Linked DNA regions of Cricetulus griseus. The protein of the gene in region 2 purifies or fractionates together with the protein of the main gene of each other region. This does not show direct contact. Links are inferred from orthologs where the notes say so. Each region holds a gene or a part of one and is shown on either strand. Other genes may lie near its edges.

What was found.
Region 1: the proteins of Rpa1 (region 2) and Tipin purify together in Homo sapiens (affinity purification with western blotting; 4 studies listed by BioGRID and IntAct, with this or other methods). This does not show direct contact. The link is inferred for Cricetulus griseus from reciprocal best matches to the Homo sapiens genes RPA1 and TIPIN.

Annotation. Positions count from the first base shown.
Region 1 is NC_048597.1:175,901,691-175,905,439, reverse strand, and holds the start of Tipin (TIMELESS-interacting protein), read right to left. Parts: upstream 2,825-3,749; 5' UTR 2,822-2,824; coding exon 2,725-2,821; intron 1-2,724.
Region 2 is NC_048600.1:88,760,357-88,764,005, forward strand, and holds part of Rpa1 (replication protein A 70 kDa DNA-binding subunit), read right to left. Parts: intron 1,846-3,649; coding exon 1,713-1,845; intron 1-1,712. UniProt on the Homo sapiens protein: As part of the heterotrimeric replication protein A complex (RPA/RP-A), binds and stabilizes single-stranded DNA intermediates that form during DNA replication or upon DNA stress.

The DNA of each region.
Region 1 (3,749 bases), on a different chromosome or scaffold from region 2:
CAGCTAGGGCTAGAGACTGTCTCAAAAAAGGGAAAAAAAAAAATTCAATAGGGAAAAATAATTTTTTGCTAGGCATAGTGGCAACTGTAACCCAGCACTTGAAAGAAGAGAATCAGGAACCCAAGGTCAGCCATGGCTACATAGCAAGTTAAGGCTGGCCTGAACCAAGAGACCCTTTAAGGAAAAAAAATAAAAAAATAAGGAGGCTAGAGAGATGGCTCAGCAGTTAAGAGCACTGGCTACTCTTCCAGAGAACCCAGGTACAATTCCCAGCACTCACATGATAGCTTATAACTGCTTGTAACTACAACTTCAGGGGATTCAACACCTTCACACAGTCATACATTTGGACAAAACATGAATGCACACAAAACAAAAATGAATATAAAAGAATAAAATTTAGCTGGGCAGTGGTGGCACACACCTTTACTTCCAGCACTCAAAAGGCAGAAGCAAGTGGATCTCTGAGTTTGAGGACACCCTGGTCTACAGATCCAGCCAGCTCCAGGACTGTCAGAGCTACACAGAGAAACCATCTTGAAAAACCAAAAACCAAACAAAAGAATAAAATTTATACTATGCCGACTTCATTTCATACCCCCTCTCTCTCATACTTTTTAAATTCCTTACAAAAACTATCTCTACTGTAAAGAACCTGGATATTGCCAGATGGCAGTAGCAGCATCGTACACCTTTAGTCAAAGCCCTTGGGAGACAGAGGCAGGCAGATCTCTGAGTTCAAGGCCAGGCTGGTCTACAGAGCAAGTTCTAGGACAGGCTCCAAAGCTACAGAGAAACCCTGTCTCAAAAACAAACAAGCCTGGTGGTGGTGGCATACGCCTTTAATCCCAGCACTCAGGAGGCAGAGGCAGGTGGATCTCTGTGAGTTCGAGACCAGCTAGGTCTACAAGAGCTAGGGTCTACCTTATTTCACTCACGTTTGGTAGAACAGTATTTTGCTTTAGATTTGTTTTGGTTTTTTCAAGAAAGGGCTTCTCTGTGTAGCCCTGGCTGTCCTGGAACTATGTAGACCAGGCCAGCCTTGAACTCAGAAATCCACCTGTCTCTGCCTCCTGCATACTGGGAGTATGCAAGATTTATTTTTACTTATCTATTTGCCTGTGTGTTATGAGCAACATGCATGTATAGGTGTCCAAAGAAGCAAAAGGATGATGCATCATCAGAAACTAAGAGTTACAAGCAGGTTTGAGTGGTGGGAACAGAACCCAGGTCCTTTTCAAGCACAGTAAATCTCACCCATTGAACACCAATTTTGTTGTTTGAAATAGGGTCTTATATAGGTCAAGTTGGCCTCCAACTCCTTATCCTCCTGCCTTTCCTCCCCAAGTGATAGCATTACATGTACTTTGAAAGCTCTTCCTTTATCCCTAATTTCTTTCACATTTTAACCATGACCTCTCATCAGGAAAATCTATCTCAAATCAGGAGTGATGAAACAGTCTGTAATCCCAACACACAGAAAGTAGAGACAAGAGGAAATGAGTTCAAGGCCATCCTCAGTTACACGACTTCAAGGCCAGCCTGAGACTCTTAGAGAAAGAGACCGTTCAAATGTCCCTAAATTGAATAACCCTGTGTGTGTGAGCAAGTGGAAGCCTTAAGGGCAACTTTCCAGAAATTCTCTTTTCACCATCTTGGAATCAAATTCAAGTAAGATTTGTACTGCAAGCACTTTTACCTGATAAGCCTCCTCGATGGCCCAGAATCCTCTTATAAGAATTAACATCACCATGCATAAGCTTTATAGGAATCATCGTTTCTCTATTAAGTTTTATTTATTTAATGTTACTCTCCTACAATTGAATGTAGCCCCTTAGAACAAAAATCAGACAGGTCTTTTTGTGTTCCACCACTATGTCCTAAATTCAGTACACAACAGATACTCAATATTTATTTACTGAAAAAAGGAATTAAAAAAGAATTCCAAACCAGTAACAGTGATATGCACTGTAATACCAACATTTAGGAGTCTAAAGTAGGAACCCAGGAAGCCGGTATGGACAACAGTCCTTGTCTGTACACATGCACAACACAGAATGCAGATGTAACCTAGTTGGTAGAGGGCTTGGCTGGCATTCACAAAGCCCTGGGTTCAATTCCCAGTACCCCATAAACTAGGTGTATGTATAGGGGTGCATGGGCTTGGTAATGCCAGTCCTCAGACAGATCAAGAGGCTCTGAAATTCAAGGTTATCTTTAGCAACATCAAGTGCAGACATATAGATAGATAGTTTGGGTTTTTATGTTTTGTTTTTCGAGACAGGGTTTCTCTGTGGCTTTGGAGGCTATCCTGGAACTAGCTCTTGTAGACCAGGCTGGTCTCGAACTCATAGAGATCCGCCTGCCTCTGCCTTACGAGTGCTGGGATCAAAGGTGTGCACCACCAATGCCCGGCTATGTAGTTCCACTCTAATGGAAGTTCTGAAAACAGGACTTGCAACTACAATTACTAGCAAGTAATCAGTAAAGCACGCGGTAGGGCTTTTATCAATAAACTGGTTTCTCTTAGTATATGTAAAGAATTAGTTGTTGACGAAGCTTCTTTCTCCCCCTGACAACCGTCACACATCTTTTTAGACATTGATGTCTATTTCCCCTCCTGGTCCTCAAACTCCCAGAGAAGTATGGGTAACAAATCCAACATCCTTCCCACACTCGTAAGAAACGTACAACTTTCCCAGCGGTCGTGGAGAGGCGCCTCACCTTTAAGGAGCCCAGCGCCCTGACTCGGCCTGGGTGCCTCCCTAAAAGTATCACATCTCCCTTCCGTCTTCTCCAGCCTCCTCATCCTCCCTCCCATCCAGTCAACTTCATTCACCCCACATTCTCTGTCCCGGCGCTTGGTCCCAGGGTCTGAGCGCGCCGAGAAGACGCCGCCTCAGGGGCAGGCCCGCCATCCTCCCGCCCCGGACGCCTCCCGCCCGCTCCGTCTGCTCCTCCTCAGCCGCCCTGCGGCCTAGCTGTGGCGACCCCAGTTCTCGCAGCCCAGCAGCGAACTTCGAGTGCCGCTTCTCGTTCCAGAGACTCCCTCACAGAACCGAGTCTCACCTCACAAGAACCGCAGCCACAGCCGAGCGCGCGAACGGCGCCTCTCGCGAGAGTCAGGAACTCCCTCTGCGAGAAGAGATGGGAAGTTTGGCGCCAACCGTACGCGAAGCGGCCTGGGCGGGGCCTAAGGGCTAGAGTAGCCGGGACCCGCCCACCCCCGCCCGAAAGCCTGCTTCCCCATCCCGAGCATCTTACTAGCGTGAAGCTCAGAGTTCCTTATTTTCTAGGCGCTTCATTAGCTTTTGAAATAGGACTCCGGTCTTAGAAACCGAGTGGTGGAAGCCGGGCCTGAGAGCGTACGCCTGGAACCCCAGCACTTGGGAGGCAGAGGCCGGCGGATCTCTGTGAGTTCGAGGCCAGCCTGGTCTACAGAGCGAGTTCCAGGACAACCTCCAAAGCCACAGAGAAACCCTGTCTCGAAAAATAAATAAATAAATAATAAACAAATAAATAAGTAAATGTGCTAGAGAGATGGCTTAACCATTAAAAGCACTTGTTGCTCGTGCAGAAGACTCAAATTTGGTTTCCAGCACCGACTTAGTGGTTCACAACCTTGTGTGGTACCAGGGCATCTGAGGCCCTCTCCTGGCCTCCAGAGCACCAAGCAAATTACATACAAAAAGCCATGCAAATAAAAGATGTCTTTGAAAAAATGAGACGGTGAGAAAAACAATGCTAAC
Region 2 (3,649 bases):
GATCCGCTTTACCTCTGTACCCAACACACAAGTTTTCAGGACTCTGTGTTTTCAGTTTATGTTCAGTGGTCAAGTAACTGCAGAATCCAGGAATACCCTGAATTCAGAGCTAGGCTATCAAAACCATTGGGCCTTTTTAATTAGCCCTGGCTATGCAGAAACTCTCTATACAGACTAGGCTGGCCTCAAACTCACAGAGACCCACTTGCCTCTGCTGCCCAAGTGTTGGGATTAAGGGCATTTGCCATCATGCCTGGCTCACACTGGGTCTACTTGATGTCTCAGACCAGAGGTGCAAAACAATGTGGTCATTTAAAAAGACTATGCTAGTACCCAGTTTAGACAGCTTTAGGGCTGGGTGTGTAGCTCAGTGGAAGAGCTTGACTGGCATGCACGAGGAGCTGGGTTTAACCCTCAGCTCCACAGAACTGAGTACATAAGAAGGCTTGGGGTGGCTGGGTGGGGAGATGGATCCACTGTTAAGAACACTGGTTGCTTTTGCAGAGGAACCAAATTCAGCTCCCCAGCACCCACATGGTGGCTGTTCCAGGGGATCTGATGCCTTCTTCTGACCTCCTCAGACACCAGTCACTCATTTGGTTTGTGTCATATGTTACTTGACCACTGAACATAAACTGAAAACACAGAGTCCTGAAAACTTGTGTGTTGGGTCCAGCTGGGTCCAGGGAGAACATTAATACACATAAAATAAAAACATTAAAAAGAAAGCAAGCTGGGGCCAATATGCCAGCTCATGGGGGAAAGCGCTTGCTGTCAGGCCGGATGACCTGAGCCTGGTCCCTGGGACTCACAGGGAGAGCTCAGTTTGAATTCCATACACTGCAGTGGAAAATGCAAATGAAAAATGACTTTAAAAATTGTGAGGAAAAAGCTGTAGAGAGCTAAACCTTAGAATGCCTAAAGAGTTTCTCTCTATTTCCAGGTAAGATGCAGACTTGAAGCCTGATTTAACAGTGTATGCTCAGTTCTGACTGCATACTGTCTATCTTTAGTTTAAGAGAGCAACTGGCTGACAAAAGAAACAGAATCCAACCAATGTTTAATTCTCAAGATGTTCTATAATAGTATTATAAGTTGCTGTGGATGACAATGATGGATCGAGTGCACAGTGAAATGAGACAGTAAGGAAGAAAACCTATATTGTATATGATGACAATAAAGGAGCCGCAGCAAGTGATGCTTAGGGAGCACAATAGAAATAAATGATTCAAATATCCAGCAGAACACAGGTTAGGCCAAGGGAGGAACACTGAAACAGAAAGCTGTAACTAAAGTCAAATACCAGTCCTTGGCAGGATAGCAGCTGCTCTCCATCTACAACTCAGGCTCAAACCCACAGGAGCTGCCTGATGCTTGACAGCCTGACACTGATGCTCTGCTCAGACACTAACATGAACCCGAGGCCAGTTCACACTACACTGCAGAGCCTGGTCACCACCATTTCCGCAGTATCCAGAAACTTGTCACACTTTTCTACTTCACACGAGAGGCCACAACACACCCTTCAACACACACAGCCTCTATACTGGCAGTGACAGAGACACCAACAACAAGAAGCAGTAACTGGCGCTCTGGCACAGGGCTCTGGGATCCCAGATGAGAACACAGCCCTGAACTAGCACCTGAAAGCAGATTTAAACACTCAACCATCTAGCGCTTTCTAGGCTTCTGTGAAGTAAGACGTGAGGTACCTTGTCACCCTGGCCCAAGTTCTCCGATTTAGCCTCATACAAAGTTTTCCAGTTGGTGTTGTTCCCTCCAGCGCCTCCACTCCTGAGGTCAGAGATGGAAACACCATCTAAGGCTTGTCCTTCTGAGTCGAACCTAAAAAACAAAACAAAAGCAATGGTGACAGGAACTTTGCATCCTTCTCAAATGTGCTGTTTGGATATACCAGCCACGAGCTCTGTCACTACCGGGTCCCATCTGGGTCCCAGCACACCTGAAGAATTACAATGGCCTTTCTTTTGACCTCATTTGTTTTGACCTCCACTCCCACATGACCCCATGGTCAAGACAAACAATGCCCAAATACCACAGACCCCCTGCCCCAAACTGGGCTGCATATTAAAAAAAAAAAAGCAGTGAACAGAGTCAGCAACAGAAGGCCACCCTGGCGCAGTCCCCCAGGCTTCGAGCCTTTACCTCAATCACTGAAATGAATCAGATGAAAAGGGACATTTTTGTTTCATGAGTCAGCCAAAAATGTTTTCATGGTAGAAAATCTTTTAAGCCTAATCAGTTGTAGAATTCAACATACTTCATCAGAAGGCATTATCTGCTGTGTTAGATATTTGCTTTCTCAGTGGGAATTTATTTATGCAAACATCAAGGTTAAGTCATTTATATGAAATTATTATTAAAACTGATTACACCTCTTGACCAGCTATTGGCTAATCCAAAGGAAAAGAGGCCAGGGAGAAGGTAGCAAGAACATGCAGTGGCGGAGAGTGGTGGGCTTGAGATTAAAAACATGAGCTGGCTGTAGTGAGTGGTGAACGTCTTTAGTCCCAGCCTTTGGGAGGCAGAGGTGGGTGCACCTCTGAGTTCGAGGCCAGCCTGGTCTACAGAGTGAGTTCCAGGCCAGCCAGGGATACACAGAAAAGCCCTTTCTCAAATAAATGAACAAACAAACACAAACATATCAAACACCCAAGTGGTAGGTAATTAAATGTTAACCACATACAGGACTGACTCCCTAAAAAGAGAGCACTCAACAGAGTGGCTGCTGCCCTAGGCCACATTGTGTCAGGTGAACAGCTACATCCGTCATAGAGGATAGAGTTCATAATTGGTTTTACCACTAAAAACTGTGAAGTTTATGGCTTCAAAAACTTCATGCAGACATTTGCCACAAAGATAGCTCATCAAGAATCAACAGAGCAAGGAGACAGGAGCCCTTCTTATAATAAAAATTCCACCCTGTTAGTGGCAAGATCTAAACTTCCGATAATCCTTGCCTGGGTGGGGTGTGTGCACTGAACCTGTCCTAGATCAATGACAGGACCTTTTGTTCAGGGGACATACATGCCTCTTTGTGTTTTCTGCGATCAGTTACTGACAGTGAAATATGAACACCTTACTGTGGGCATGCAATTAACCTGGAGTTGTGCTCAGAGCCTGGAAGAAAATCAACCAACAAAAACAAACCAAAGACACGATTGTTTCTAGTTAAACTACTATGGGATTCTGTCATATGATGCAATACTAGCTATCAGCACCGTTAAATAGATGGATGCAGGCTACTCGAGAGGGTGGCTTAAGCAATACAGACATTCTAGGAGATATTCTATCAAATTATTAAAATATCACTGTTACTGGAGTATATCAGATTCAAAACAAAAATGAGGAGTATAAAATGAGCTATTTCTTGAATCCCCTAAACTCTAAGCCATAGCTGGAAACCACACATGCCCCCTGTGACTACAGCTACACAAATGACTTAAGCTTGAGCTGGGTAAAGTCTTTTCTTTGCCCACATCAATTCTTCCACACTACATTCTCAGGATGAAGTGCTCTTCTAAGGCAGAGTTTTAATGCCTTAAAAAAAAAAAAAAAGCTAGATACGGTGTGGGGATCTTAACAAGCTCTCCTGTCTCTTGAGTGCTTCGAGAATAACGATGTAATG